Linked DNA regions of Drosophila melanogaster. The protein of the gene in region 1 interacts with the protein of each later gene in a pairwise test. Each region holds a gene or a part of one and is shown on either strand. Other genes may lie near its edges. The genes, in order: Xrp1, CG10365 and Nost.

Region 1 (5,458 bases):
GCGAATTCACTTGTCTTTTCTGCTACGCAATAGGTTGGGTGGTTCCTGGCACCACCACTTGTGTATTGCTTCAAGTCCGGCCGTTGCTCGGATATAAAGGATTACTTTCTGGGATAGCGACAAATGTCCACTGTTATTGTTCCGCGATGAACAACAACGATTGCCAAGTCTTTACACTGGGTTTCCTTGGTTATATGTATTCTATATGTATTTTATAGAACTAACTTCACTGTGCGATCTCTGAGTCAACCGACTGCTTGGAGTATTCACTACGTTTTGAACGGCTGCTAGTGGCGAACAGAAATGAAACTGTTGGATTTGCTGTGCACTGTGAATTTCATTCGTTGTGAAATTCAAAAAGCTCCCACAAACCAGTTTGCCATAGCCAGATACTTTTCCCTATCGGTGTGTGTCGGTGTATTTCAGATAAGCGTTCGCTGTGAGCAAGCAAGAGAGCGCTAAAATTCCCTGTTGCCGCCAGATGGCCTGCTTTTATAAAATTTCCCCGGCATATACTATTTTCATATGAGCTACAAGTTGGAGGCTCTTTGTCACAGCCGGCCGGTGTTTTTCATATTTGTATGTAAGTATGTACTTTACCGAACCAAACATTGCAAAGTACATTTTAGTGAGACTAAGTATTCATGAGTGAGATATATTATAGGCATGAGTCATAATCGTTTGCTTGGGTGGACCGACCTATCACAATATCATTTCTATTAAATAATTAGATACATACATTTTGCACAATGAAAATAAATTGTATTTTTGACTTTCAATGCAAAAATATATAAAGACCTCTTTTTAAAATTAATGAATTTTTTTTATTAATATCTATTTATTCATAGGTTTTTTCATCAATATGTAAAAAAATAATAACAAAACTATTAACAATGAACGAGAAAAACAACTAAGTTTCCAAGTTTGCACAGATTTGACACTGTCAAGAAATTTTTTGCACAAAGTACTTAAGCTATCTTAGACTTATAGTTCATAAGAAATTATAATAACTTGAGGTAATTCTAATACTTTGCATGCATACCCTTAGCATTAATAAAATATTGCAGAAGTTTTTTCATTGAAAAAATAACTTTTCAAGATCATTTTGTTTTGGGATCTTATATTCTTTGGGTCAAGAACTTTAAACAAAATTAAAAACACAAAAGAACGAGGCATGAGAATGCATGGTTATACTAAATAATAATATATGTACGCATCTGTATGTATGTATGTATGTATGCATTAGCCCAAGGGAGTGATTTAGTTGGAAGTCTTTTAAATTTCAGAGCAAATGCATTCATTTTCTAGATTGTTTGGCCTTTAAAAATAATAGACTGTGAACCCCACGACAATCCAAAAATCGTTGAGATGTGAACTTGGGAAATTTCTTCACGTTCTTTCTCTTTCGTACAGCTCATTCGCCCACATTTGAAGAGAAGAGCTTTCTTGTCGTGGTATTAGTAAGCTCTCTTTGAATGTGTGCTCAGATAAAAGCTGTTGAATTCTCGAAATCGAAAAGCTCTGCGTACGTACGTATGCATGTATGTATAACAGCTTTAACTGATAATTTAGAAATCCATGAGTCATGCTGATAAATATAAAGCGCAAAATGAGCTTCAGCGGTTGGCAAAAACTGTCATCATGTGATATTTGTAATGGGCCTGATCTGCAGACACAAATACAATATAACCAAGGGGGGGGGGGGTCATTTTGATTATTTGCCCACGTCCTCTGATTTTAGCCCCCAAAGCTGAGGAGCTTAAATGCCAGTCCACATATGCGTGCAAAAATATGTGACTTTCAAACGACAATCTTGCGCAGCGCACCGACTGGCACGAGCTCTTGGAATATCGAAGACGACCATCAACAATGGACGCCCTCAGTTGGCAAATTAACAAAATAAATGGCCAACACGTAGCGATTCGTTCAATCTTTTCACGATGAGTGCGCATTTTTCGATTCCACGAAATGGGAATGGAAAGGTAGGGCGTTTTGCATGTGTAGATGAATAGCAATTGATCTACAAAGCCCCTTCCTTGTTCGATTTGATTATCTTATCTTATCACTTTTATCTGAAACGTGATCTACATATGTACATACAATATAGTGTGGTGGTAGCTAAAAGTGTATGACTAAGTTTAAAGTGATTTTTTGCAACAAGCAGTTGTCTGGCATATCCAAAAATGTGTTTTTTTAAGCTGTTTCGGTGTGCTCAGTCTCTAAAGTTTTAAATTAGTAAAGCCAAAGATTTTTGTATCTTCCCTACCATATATGCATGAATGTCTGTAACTCAACAGGTCACCATTATTAATTATTTAGTAATCATCCTAAAGATACAAAATTTAAGACTAGTTACTTAACTAATAATATAGAATAAGATATAAGACAGAATCCGGTTTAGAAACCCCATATAAATTTATTATTTTAAGCGTCACGTTTTCACATGTAATCAAAACACCTATCAAAACAACGCCCTACAAAAGTTCACGATTACTATAGGCCTATAGGTAGGTGGCCTCATCTATCTATGTATACTCGACGTGAAGTGTACCCAGTGTCAATGACACCGCCAGCAACAAAGTTGTGGCAACAAATGTTGCTGGCTTTGGGAAAATGAGAAATGTGGCCAGTAGTTGCTTACCCTCCATCATGTTGCTGCCACGTTGAGCAGGTTCCAATGATGACGGCACTAATATGATCTTGATCCTTGTTGCTCCTTATCTCCGGTGACTATTTGACTTATTCGAATCGGTTTCAAAAGAAAGTGCGGCGACTAAAGCGACGGCGGTTAAAGTCACGCTTCTTTCGTAGCAACTTGGAGCGTCGTAGGATCTTAGTGCCCGTAGTGCCACCAGTGCCGGTGCCGATCGTGGAGGTCTCGATATTGATTGAATTGTTGCAATAAAACTTATTGTTATGCCAGCCGCGCATACGCATACACATAAAGTTGTTGAGCATGGGAACCTGCTGCTGCGAATGTTGCACACACATGAAGACAACGACAGGCGAATGTTGCATGACGTTCTTAGGCGACGCGATGTTGGATTTCCCGCTTTTTCTCGACACTGCTGTTGCTGTTAGTGTTGCACCAACCGCAGGCAGAACGAACATAATATTGGGGCAAAATGCCTTTGAAGTGTTTTTCTCTTTTTTTTTCTTTTTTTTTTTTGGTACGGTCAGCTGTTGCTTCAGTGATACCACTTGTGTAGATCGGGCGTATGCTTAATGTACTCGTCAAGTGTTCGTGTTCACAAGCGCTTATCTATATAGCATCTAGATACAACTGTTATCTGAGATACCGAGATACGAAGTATATATAGAAATTGTTTGTTTAATTTTCGCCAATTTATTGCGTCTCTCGCAAATGTTTTTCAGGCTGTTAATCACTCTGAACTTTGCACTCAAAGTTGAGTTTATCTGGTACGTTTTACACGAAAAGAAATTACTGTTCTATGAATAGGATATCTTTGTAACGAGGTTCAGCGTTTGATGCCATTAAGATGGGATTCTAAAACACGTATCGAAAATTTCACAAATTCCACGCTGATTTGCACACCGAAAGCTCTGTCGTTTGCCTTGACTCACTGAATTGTTGTTCTGTTCGCGACGAAGTATTGTTACTAACTGACTCAACTGCGAGCACTGGACGGCAGCCGCTGGCCGGGGTTGATATAATTTTGCTGACGTCGTTGCCGGTTTCATTCACCGCTCCGTCCATATACCCTTTCCCCACCACCAATATATATTCACATATATTCACACACACGCGCTCTCTCAGCTGCTGTGTCTATTTTCTATGGCCGTGCCCCCAAAACATTTCCACGCGGGGATCTTTTTCTCTCATTATTTTTGTGATGCGGAGGATGGGCCACTCGGATAAGTGGGTGCCTCTACTTCTTAGATACTACTCTACTCTAAAACCCTTAGCTGGTTGAAAGCAGCTGAAAAAGGTGTAAACAATGCATTAGCATCAACTGATTTAAGTTCTGAAAAAAAAAAATTTCCATGTGCTATTAACTTGAGGCAAAGTATTACATACAACACAGTTAAGTTAATATAACAAAAAATATATATATTTTCAATAAACTGTGCAAAACGCAGACAGATTATTCATAGCCGTTCATATTATTTGGCTAGCGACAGTCTGAAAATTGCACAGATAGCATTTCGGTCTAAATTGGCTACAATAGATAAGAGAAGCTAAAAAAAAAGAATAAATTTTACTCTGCACCCAGATAATTTAGAAACGTAGATATTAAGGTTGTAAGTAATAGCAACTATGTTTGCTCACAAAGGGTTAATAAACTGGTATTTAATAAAAAGCCGCGAAACTTAAGTATAGTTCAATACTTTGCGTATTTTTTCGCGCCTAAATATTCATTTATATTCATATGATCATTCACAGGATTTTTAATGTAAATGTAAGTATTTATGGTTACATATGTCACCTATGTCCGCTCCAAAAGGTATAGGGCAACTGGTTTGGCAGCCTGCCATGCAGCAACAACAAACAATACAGATTCGCACTCTTTCTCTCCACGTGAGTGAAACTCTCTCTCGCTGGTTGAGATTGGCTGATGCAACACTTGCCACACGTTGCAACAGCTGTTTTAGTCTGGCCCAGCTGATTCGTATTGTTGGCTTGTTGCCAGAGACTGCGAAAATCTCTTGGCAACATGTTGCCACAACTTTTGGAAAACTCATAGTGTTGTTAAACATGTTGGGCGAAATTTTCACACCGGTGCAGGGCAAAAAGGGGGTGGCTTAAACTGTAGCTGGCTGGCTGGCTTAAATTAGCCGGCCGATGATTCATTTTGGGGGTTGTCCACTTACATAAGATGAGCTCACCCAATGTGAAAACTCTTTAGTCGCTGGAAGAAACTGCGCATTTCGACACAGAAAAGCCTAAACAAGCAGAACGAACATTTGTTTTGTAGATTTATAATTTTTCAAAACATACAATCGCATTGCACTTTGCGATTGGCCTTGACACCCTGACGTGGTTCCATTTGGCGACACTGTTCCTGCTTTTATCTTCTCCATGGCGCAAGATAAAATCAGAAAGTACAACGTGTTGATCACCTAATGGCCAGAGTCATGCAAACCAAACTCTTGGTGATTTAAATCTATTTCCATGTCTGTCACAAAAGAATACTGCTTATTATTATATGGCGGGTTATAATTTACCAAAGTACACAAAATGTTACAATACAATACAGTTGAATATATACTAGTTAAATGTACATATGTTTTATAACAGCTCATTGGCTGTGTTTTAATGGTTTATAAATGTAAAGTGTTTTTAAAGCATTTTAAATTTCAAATGAAACATTTTTTTTGTGGAAGTGCTGTTTTTTATACTGTTCAGATATATCTCACTGATATTTATGATGATTCTTTAATCGTATGACTGTACAGTACCCTCACACTTTAGTTCTCTGTATGGTGTGTTGACTGT
Region 2 (5,731 bases), 4.8 Mb from region 1:
TGTACTCTCGTGCGCATATTTGTTTGTATTTTTAGCTATTTTATTTCGCGTGTAGCACTTATACTCATGCATATGTATTAGGTACATATATGAATAAACTTAAACATTTTGCACACTTTGTTTTGATTGCCGCCTTTCCGAAATGCCGAAGGAATTTCTAAGTAGTTGTGAGCTTTCTGTTTTCATACGCTGTTTCTAAATACCAGTATTTTTTGTTGGATTTTTATATTTGCTGGTGTATTTTTAATCATTTTATCTTCTTCTTCGGGTTTCGATATATTTTAGCATAAATAAATTGACCCAAAAACAGGCTGGATGGTGGAAAATTACCGAAAACAAGTTCAAAAACCTTAAACGCACATCCCCATGCACACATACATATACATATGTAGATGCTTACGATATTTAACATCCTCAAAAGCACAAGCACACACACACACACACACGTTCACATGAGACTTTTCTTTGCACCACACAACTTGGTTACGTATACGCAGCGTTGGCCACTGCTCGTTTGCCATATGAAAAACGCTCCGAAATCGACTCGCTACACATTTCTGGGTCCTTGATACTGAACTTTTTTCATTGTGAAAGTTTTTTGCCAACGGTTCAAGGTTAGCAAATTTTTCTCAAAAATTGTTTATACAGCAATCTATAGTTCCTATCGGTCGTGTATGAGTGTGGGATAGTAGTTGGTCTGCAGTTCCCCAGAAAGAGGGCAAGTTACATTTTTTTTTTGTTTGCTTCGGGTAACAGGCGCAGAGCACACACAAATTCTGGGCTCCGTTAGCTATGTATGTACATAGAACGCCTTAAGCCCATTGATATCACATGTAGATGTATGTATGAAGAATGTACATAACATACGAGTGTACGTTTTTTAGGGGGGCATAAAAGTGTATCATGGTGGCGGCAGACTGAAATTCGTCGAAATCAACAAAGCACACGAACTCACACACACACACATGCACGTACACGAATTCTCCATCCAGATGGGCAAAGCTGGCGTTTTTGGATCAGGGCTTAGCACTTTTGGATGGGAATTTACGTGCAGCTGACTAAATTTTTGTCTCGCTTATCTCATATGTGATTCGCTCATTTAGCTTTCATCACCCGGCGAATAATCACAATTGAGATTGACAGGGTGTTAAATGGACTGAATTAGGTGATCTAAAGTTCTTAATAGTCGGCCTTAATTCAAAACAACTGCATGTTACTTAATAACACGCCCTCTAAATATGTTATCATGTCTTCATCGTTTGTTTCTTTAAGCCAGATAAGTGTTACTTAAATTCAGACGCCTTAAACTTATTTCTTTATTGAATTCCATATTGCTTTCAATCCTCTAAAAAAAACTCTCATAAAAAATCCTTAGTCATTTTATTAATTACATACACTACTTACGTATTATTATCTATAACTCTTTTAACATCAAATTAAACACACAAGCCTTCTGAGTATTAATTTACTTTGGTGCCTGATAGAATTCATATACATACAGGCACTTGAAAACAAAATAATAAACCCGGCTACTTGGCTTAACACTTCTAATTAAACAATTAAAAATATATTTTATTTTATTGTGCGCTAAACGTGGCTAATAATTCTCCATCTGTTGCTTTTTGCCCCTCTGAAAATTATCAAATTTATTCGACAAGGGCCTAGACTACATTTTATTGATAAATAACCAAGCAGACTGAAAAAACTTGAGTGTGTAATTTACAATCGCGCGTTGGCGTTTGCTATCGCCATATACTTTTTGCTAAAATGATAAGAGTTCATTCCGACTTGGGTTTCGAGACGAAAGGCCTCTGATAAGGGGCTGTACGGTATGGCACCCCCTCGATAGAGAAGATTAGACGTGTGAGCGAGCTACAGCCAACCGGCAGATTAAAGAGTTTGCCAGACAGTCCGGTTGAACAAAAGCCTTGAAAGGTAAACAACTTTTCAGCATATATCAATTAACACATCTGGCCTAATTTGAAGAATCACAAAAATAAGATACCGCGTAAAACCGACCTCTTAATACTTTCTTTTGCGCATTTTACTATCCAATCCTGTTGGCTAGGTGGACATACACGTGTGGCTCTCTTATTCGCAGATTTGTCTTGTTTATTCAAAACTACAAACTATTTTTAAGCACACAGCTTATATTTAACTTTAATGATGATGTTTGCTGCATGCATTCAAAGATATATTTAGCAATCAGAATCAGCATTTGAGAGGAAGTGTGCTCTAAGATGAAGAAGTAAATGATTGAGTGTAAATACGTTCAGTTTTAATCAATATTTGCTGTACTTAGTCCCCTTTTTTTTTGCATTTATTTACTTTAGTTTTTATTTTTATTTTTGTAAACACATTCATTTCATTGAATTTACACGTCGTACAATACGTATACCAAAGCGGAAAACTAAAAAGGCATGCTATTAAAGTTAAATAATTTCGGAATGAATAATGCAATCTAAACACCCGAAATTCGAAATATTCATCGAATTTCGGGTGTTCAAGGTACGTGCCAAATACTGAGACTAGAAGTCTTACTGATAGAGTTAACTAGCATTAATAGTATAGGGTATAGGGTACTTTCATATCATAAGCCAGTTTAAAATTGGCATTTCTTTAATGATATGTTTATATGAGTAGCAATTTCACTTGTTTTGCTGATTTCTAAATGCATTTTCACCATTTTCAGGCTCTGGTGATTTGCATCAACGGATTGCATGCACAGTGACTGGGCAATAAATTGAGGTATTTAATGTAAATACAAGAAAAGTAAGCAAAGACGAAAATAAATTCAAATACGTTTTGAATTAAATGAGAGGGAGGATGAGGGTGTGAGTAAGAGAGAACAGGCCGAGAGCGAGAGAGTGAGCGAATTATAACGGAGTGCAGGAAACAACAACACACATACACACACACCGATAAGGCAGAGTAATTACAGCAACAAAGTGTTGTAAATAAACAGCAAGGTAAATAGGAGCGAATGAGATAGTATATGCACGTGTTGACACTGAAAGCTCCCAACTTGGCACACTGACACACATATGAGCTTACATAGCAGCTATGTATGTACACACGTACATCCGATCTCTCCAAGTGCAACAATTTGATGCACAATTGCCCACCTGTCCATTTAATACCGCTTCCGAAAGTGCAACGGTGGCGTTTACGAGGGTTCATTAATTTTATGCTTATCAATTTCTGTTTCTTGCACTGTACTCCGCTTTTGTTGACTCGATTTGTTTTCTGGTTTTATCACTTTTTTCATTCCGTTGCGCCATTCAGCGGGGCAACGACAACACTAGCATTTCGCACTCGGTTGCGCGCCTTGTAATGAAAACAATAACAATAACACAAGCGCCTTTTCACTTGCACACTATCGCGGTGTCTCTTTCGGACTGACTGATGAAGCAGTGCGACCGTCCCCACCGACGGTTCCAATGTAAGTGCGAGAATTGCGCCGTTTTTTCGCTCTCAAATAATGCTCCAAGCTTCCCGTTCGTCGCTTCCCCACCCCATCTTCAACTCTTCAGCGAATTTCGCTGAGCGAGCATAAACGGTAAAATAATTACTGATTTCTTTACAAACCAGTCCTGGCAAAAGTACATACATACATAAATATGTACGTATGTATATACATACATATATTATTAACGATAAGTATTTAATATTTGAAGAACACAAAGGACATTGATGTTCAACAAATAACACTGAAGAAAATGTTGACATTTTCTAATATTCATATGTAATTTAAGAGCATAATGTGTATATATTTTTTGAATACCAATGTAAATTAAAAGTAATTGCGCACGATTTTTTTTTTGGTTAAATAAAACTAATAAAATAAAACTAAATAGACTTACTTATTATTTTTGTACGGTGTAGTTTTGATATTGAAGCTCCTTGATGCTGCCCCACTCTCTCTCTCTCTCTTTCTGTCTCTACACCTTCTGAAGCGCTCTCAACGCGCAGAGAGGAGACGGGAAGTTACGCATCTCCACTCTCAATGGCGAATGCTCCACAAACCCACAAACATCCATTGGCTGACGTAATTCATACGCACCGTTGCCGCATGCAGCTCGATTTTATGAATGGAAAGCACGACATGCAAAAGCACATTGCCACCAGGCAACAGACAAACTGAACAACAGGTGCAATTGGAGAACTTCGATCTTAATTGCTCTAATTGGAAAGTGATGTGTCGCAGTCTTGATTGCCAAGCTGCTGACTGATGGCAAAAAAACAACCTCCAGTTCAGATGTTACCTTGGTAAAAATAGACACGCACATACTATGTACGTCTGATAAGATCATGCACTAAATTTCGTTGAAATTGCGTCAGTTAAAAGCTGTGAAACTAGTGCGGACTTTTCACGCATATCCCTTGTATCAGAAAAACAAAAGCGCAAACGTGAATGGGCAACTATAAAAAGAAATTAAAACATTACCTTAATGTGGTCATATATAATTTAATTTTTTTTATTTATGTATACATATATTCTTAACGTTTCGCAGGTAAAATGCCTTAATTAATAAAAGTTTCATTCAACCGCCAGATATTTTGAAAAAAAATTGTGACGTTGCCGGCTATCCAAATAAAGATTTTAGAGCGCCATCTGTTGACTATGCTTTCCATACGTCTTGAAACTCGCCCTCTATGTGTGGGATCTTAAATATTATTATACAAATTGTAAACAAATCGTAAAACAAATACAATAAAATATTATTAGTAGTCATCCGTAGCGTAGGAACAATCCATTTTCGATAAGAAATTATAATAAATTACGGCAAACAAAAATAAAGCAAAATATATATAAGAAAATAACATCTTGGTTTTGATTTATGTATAATTACTTTATGGATAGATAACCGACGGATTTGAAATAATAAATACAAACAGTGACATAGTCTCACACTCTTAAATCCTAAGTTTTCGAATAATTTTTTTACTCTTTCTCAGCGATCAGGGGTTCGTAAGCAGACAGCGTCTGAAATCCGAGTTAGTTCAATCCGGCACTGCTCTTAGATCATACGCATACTTATAAGTTGCGTACATAAAAAGTGAAAAGTTTTTAAATTAAGTCATCATATTGCTTTCCAATACAATTTGGCTATTTGCTTATTAATAATTCAGAGTGATAATTGACCATATATTATTAACACACACTTAGTGAAAATTTATGTATTTCAAATTATCGAAATAACTTGCCATTCCAGTCCAGTTCTAGATATTTCATATGACTAATGGATATACGGATATACCCAGCTATATTTCCCAGAATTTATAATATGATACATTTTGGCTAATGGTCAAACTTTCATCCTAAGAACAGTCGAAGTTTGAACGTCCACATATTGACATGGTCGAAGTATCTGTTTGCTTTCTTATACAAGGGTTTCTACTGTCGCTGTCATTTGGGCGTGGTACGAATAATTAATAATAGTGTTGAAATAATTTGCTTTTCAGTCATCATTATCATTATCATAATCATTTTAAGAGTTCAATGAAGTTCAAAATGTGCGTGGCAAGAAACACAAAGTCGCACAAATAGCCATTTTTTTTATATTCTGTACACGTATGTATTTCACGGATCATATTTTGTTCAGTTCAGTTGCAGGTTTACAATTCATGGAAAAAGTGTGATGTCAATGAGGACTGTACACACCTTAAAGCATGCCCACCCTTGAAATACTTTCTGCAATCGGCGGATATAAGTTGGGCCAGAGAAGCA
Region 3 (5,598 bases), on another chromosome or scaffold:
ACAGAGAAACAGGATAACACTAAATGGAAACACTTACTGCATGATGTGTACATAGGAACAACATAGATGCTATATATATATGCGAGTATATATAAAAACATATATATATATATAGACATACATATATAGTATATATTTTTTTCGAATTGTTTAAGTGCAACTTTTGAACAAAATATGGAAAAATGAAACGCAAGTCTTATGAAATCCTAGCAAGTAAGGCAAACCAAAATTGTAAAGGTCAAGATACAGAAATGGATGGAGGAACGATATACCTAAAAACAATGCCTAACTGTACGATAGTAAGCATACTATATACACATATATATATACATATATTGATAAAGTAATAAAGCGGCATAAATGTGTAAAAGTAATCTATTTATTTACACCGACAACCCTGTAAATACACAAATTCTGTGCAATTTTCTATCGACTCCCGCAAAACCCCGCGTTTTAATTCAATCCTCGCCCAAATCGAAACTTTGAACAGACAACGACTTTGGATTCTCCCTTCCACCTGGATATACACTATATATACATACATATATATATACATACATACATTTAATTATTAACTTACGCAAGTCTGAAAGTATTTCTATCGAAGAGTTCTAAACTGCTTAACTGTAAAGTGTACATACATATACCGAATTACAAACACTCACAGATCCTATAAACTATATTTATAGATGTAAGAAAAAGCACACTATTGATAACCATCCCCATCACTGTATGTATATGCCTATTTAATATATATATATATATATATATATATATCTACTTTTTTTGAATTAGTCACTAAGCATAGACAACATGAATTACTAAGTACGATATGCACTGCAAGCACTGAGGAATTTGATTCAATTTTACTTAAGACAAACGAAAAGAGAAATTGAAATAGCATTTAGCAAACCTAACGGAAAATCAAAAAAAAAAAAACAGAATTAAATAAGAGAATCTCCAATTTCTGGGATAATAATTACAAATTTAATATTAATTTTTCGAGCTACATCGGATGAGAAATACCGACGAAAAAAAAAAACTGTATTCGCTTGTGGCAATTGTGTGGGAAAGTCGAGAACGTTTAGCATCTGGATTGGCTATGCAGCATTCGTATGTTATATACTTAGAAACCCGAAAACCACAGATACACACACACACCCACGAATATTAAATAGATGTACAATAGTTATATAGACTCATTCGCATCGATCCTTTAAGCCATAGTCTATCCTGTTAAGCTCTCAAACAAAATTGTAATTTTCGGAACCGCAAAAAACGAACCCCAAACGCTCAGCTACGAGTTTCTGTTTAAAATCCAAGTGCAACTTTCAAAGAATTGTAAAAAAAAAAAAAATATCAATAACACTTTACGCTAGCGAATCCCAACAATATTTGGACAAACGATCGAAATCATCCACAAAATTGCTTATAATATGAATTTTCTGACTCTCTCCTAAGGGAAAATAAAAATTTTTTTTGGTATTTCAAACTCAACAACATTGCGTTTTTCTTTTATGGCATAGTTTTGGGCTTTCTCACCTACAAGTAAAGTCAAATTCAGATGAGTCACGGCTTGTAAGGTAACTAAATAAGTTATTAGAATATTGTAATCACAGCATTTAGACGGAAATCGAAATAAGTCATAAGGGTAAGTTCGAAAGATGCAAATTTATGCATCTGCATTCCATAACTTTGAAGTCATCGTAAGCCAAGCTTAAACGAGCTTTAAAACGTACACAAAGCTTGTCCAATTGGCTGCAACTTTTTTTTAACAATAAATAAATTTTTAAAAATTAAATCTTTTTATCTAAAATTGTCTGAATGTCAGCTGACTTCAATCAGTTGAATATATGTTCTTTATGCATTTTCATTTCATATTTTTCTTTATCATATTCTATTCACCGAGTGGAAGATTTCCCTGCAGGTTTGTTGTTTTTTTTTTTAGCCACATAAGTCAGTAAATCAGCCCACTGTACCCACTGTGCCGCTCCACAAAGAGCGTTCAGCGTTGAGCGGAGAGCGTTTAGAAAGCGCCAGCGACCGGCGATTGCAATTGCCACCGCTCACGGAGAGCGGCGAGCGGCGTTTGCGATTGCGATTGCCATTGGGATTGGGATTTGTTGTAGCGTGGATCGCGGAGTCGGAGTCAAAAGCTAAAAGCCAGATTCAGTTGGCGGCGCAGACTCGACTCGTTTAGTTCGCCGTTTCGTAGAAGAGCGACGAGAGCGCATGCGGCTTTTCCAGCGCGGTTTTTCCACCAAAACTTCGGCGACCTGTGTACTATTATTTATATTTTTATTACATTTTTTTTTATTGTTTTTTCTTTCTACCTGCGAACGCTTTGCTCGCCTTGAACTGGAGTGCTTCGTTTTTGAGTAGTGCATCTCTGCCTTTTGCTGGCGAGTGCTACAATTGTCGCACGTAATCGTGCTGGCAGTTACGCCTCAGAAAGCAGCCAAAAAAAAAAGAAAAAAAAACGCAGATACAAGATACAAAAGTATCTCGAACACATGCGTTACGCTCAGCTGACTCGTCGTGTGTGTGAGTGTATCGTAGTGTCGTTGTGTGTGTGTGCTAACAAATTGGTTAGATAAATTAAACAAAAACTGTGAAATTCGCGAATCAAAAAAAAAAAAAAAACAAAAGTAAAATAAAAGTTACACAAACGAAATACGCGAAGGAAAAGCGACGAGCTGAAACTGAAAGCAAACAATCAGCCGGGCTGACCAGTAGTAAATGCTTTAAACTTCAATTATAAAATTTAAATTGAAAAAAATAAAAAAAACACATATAGTTCACAATACCGCATCATAATATCCTACCCGCATCCTAACCCCCGCCGCTGGCCAAAATATGTCACAATTCCGCGATAATTCATGGGTGAGTTGCGATCGAGTTCAGTTCGGTTTGGCTTGAGATTTGGCACTAATTACCGACTAACTACTGCACACGTATCCACAGTGATACTCGCACTCTATCCTGCACTCAAAACTAATCCAAATTGCACAATTATCCAACACAATTTCTCTCCCTATCCTCATTTGTCCATTGCCCAACGCCCCCTCTCGACATCTTCTTAATTGGTCCAAATCGTTAATTAACCTGTGTGGCCATCTGTAAACCGATTGGCCAATTGGCACCATGCATCTCTCGGCCTGACCCGATTTTTTTAAATTTCGCAGCTCGCCAAGTGCCGATCCATCGATTGGTGGAATTGCACTGGCAATCAAAGTTGATAATTAGGGGAATTTTGACGATTTCTTCAATCATTTTGATGTTTAGTATTTGAGATACATTCACTAGTTCTTTGATGGCTTATTACCTTAAACTGCTTTTGAACTTTAAGAAAGTTACAAATATTCGTTTTAACTTACTATAACTTTATAAGTTTAATGAACAGAAAATATAGAACTTTCCACATTTATAGACAAGCAATTATAATATCATTTTCGATATAAAAAACATTATTATTAGGGGTGTTTTTTTTCGAGTGCATTTGCATTTGTGCCGACTGGCAATTGACTTGGAACTGAGAATTTTGACAGCTTCCGAAGCTTCGCATGCAGCGAATTACCTTGGCTTTATCAGCGGAATAACGGTGTCGAGGTCACTCGAAATAACCTAATCAAATTGGTTGGTTTTTTTAAATTTTAATTTTTTATTTTTTTTTAATAGGAGTGCGTCGTTCGCTTTGGCGAACGAAAGTCGAACAGTTTTTGAATAAATTAGTGCGATGCAAAACACGCAGGTTAAGCGGGTCAAACGGCAATGTTGATAGGCATGGGATGAAATTTATAGATCGACTTATTCGAAGTGCTGTGCAACCCGTTTATCTCGAACGATTTATCTGCGAAATATCTGGCCAAGATGGTAAAAAAAAAAAACAAAAAAAACTACTGCGGCAAGTGGTATTGCAAGATATGCAAAATTGTGGTTAAGTAAAGTAGTAAATTATCAATACTTTGTATTTAGAGATATGAATTCACTACTTAAGATACTTTTTTTTCGATTTAGTTTCTCTATATGTTTGCTGACTTTCGAATTAAGCCGCAATTGCTTTGCATTTTTTTTATCTCTACTTGTGTCAAAGAGAAAAACACACACACCTACATTTACCGAGAAATTTCCCAACTTAATTTCTACATGCTATCTAGATCAAACATCATTTCCACACCTCGAGCGCCCTTTTTCTACAGCAATTGCATGATTTGAAGGTCGACGGAGCTTTCTTTTGTTTCTTTTGGAGTTAAAAAAAAAAAAAAACCGGTGAAACAAACAGTTAGGATTGCACTCAGCGAAAAGAGTTATCTAAATCCATAACTTGTTGATAAGAAGATAGTGGTTGTATTGTAGTAAAAAATAATCATATAAAAACTTGGTACATTTAGGCATGGTGAACTTTTGCACCACAGCAATTTCGCGTAGAATCGCATTCTTTTTTTTTAGAAGCCTTTGTTTCGCTTCGCTGTATTTTTGTTGTTTATGAATGTGAATGCGTTATCGTCGTATCTGCGTAACTGTAATCGCATTATGATCCATTAAAATGCGCCAGCTTTTTTGGCAGTTTTTTTTTTTGTGATAAGGTCTGCGGACACCCACCACCTAAGGCGCTCCCTCGTCTGGCAGCAAAAAAATGAAAATAAAAAATATCATAAAACCAATCAAAATCCAGTAAAATAAGAGAAAAACCAGTTGGCCTGGCCCAAGTCGATTGCGCAAATGTCGTGACTGACGTCGCGCCAACGATTATCATCTTCTTCTGGCTAAGATTGAGATTCGGACTGGGATTGGGATTGGGATTTGGGACTTGGGATGCTGCACCTGCACATCCAAAGTCTGGCGGCTGAAGTCTGCTTCCTGGTGGCAGCTTCAAGTTCAATTACGGCAGATTGTCGTGAAGGCATTGGCCATGGATTCACAACCATATCGATATACACAACCACAACCATATTCACATCCACATCCACATCCACATGTCCATGTTGGTCATCAGCAACTTTCACTCACCGGCTAAATGACGATGACGATGTGTGCCTCCTGCACATTTTGTCATCGTTTTTCATGTGGGAAAATCTCTCGCCTCTGCAAAAGATCCAAAGAAAAAAAGACCTAAACGATGGGGAAGTCGTGTGGAGGCTCGCTTTTATTTTTCCTTCTTTTTTATTCATGGAAGCTGCGCTTTTGGGCAGACATTGCAAAATAATTTCCACAACAAGTTGGGAAGGCCGTCGACGACAATGAACTTTTAATTACCCCAAAGACTCGTTTCGCAAAAAAAATAAAAACACATGGAGAAAAGTAAAGGGGGAGCACAAACCTCATTCAAATGAGGTTTGCGGAAGAAAAAGAAAAGAAATTTTCAAAGGAGGAAAAGTTACTTAGCTCTCCGTGATCATATGCAATTTAATGCCTGCCCAATTTGCTGCGGAACAATCGGGTCTTTGTTTTTTTATGAGCAAAACCCTCCATTTCCCCAGCAGCAGATTAGATTTCAATTGAAGATTTGCAGATTGGCTTCCCTCGTTGATTTTCGTGGGATTGCCAGCCGAAAACTGGCTAGCCAAATTATGAATAAGTGTGCTGTAAATACGATTT

Evidence for each region.
Region 2: the proteins of Xrp1 (region 1) and CG10365 interact in a two-hybrid assay, tested with the Drosophila melanogaster proteins (one large-scale study listed by BioGRID).
Region 3: the proteins of Xrp1 (region 1) and Nost interact in a two-hybrid assay, tested with the Drosophila melanogaster proteins (one large-scale study listed by BioGRID).

Annotation. Positions count from the first base shown.
Region 1 is NT_033777.3:18,913,109-18,918,566, reverse strand, and holds the start of Xrp1 (Xrp1), read right to left. Parts: upstream 3,600-5,458; 5' UTR 2,642-3,599; intron 308-2,641; exon of another isoform or gene 1-307.
Region 2 is NT_033777.3:23,721,053-23,726,783, reverse strand, and holds the start of CG10365 (uncharacterized protein), read right to left. Parts: upstream 3,454-5,731; 5' UTR 3,126-3,453; exon of another isoform or gene 3,055-3,125; intron 1-3,054. Other genes in the region: CG10232 (uncharacterized protein), read left to right, coding at 5,360-5,423, 5,607-5,731.
Region 3 is NC_004354.4:9,028,014-9,033,611, forward strand, and holds the start of Nost (nostrin), read left to right. Parts: upstream 1-2,191; 5' UTR 2,192-2,856; coding exon 2,857-2,883; intron 2,884-5,598.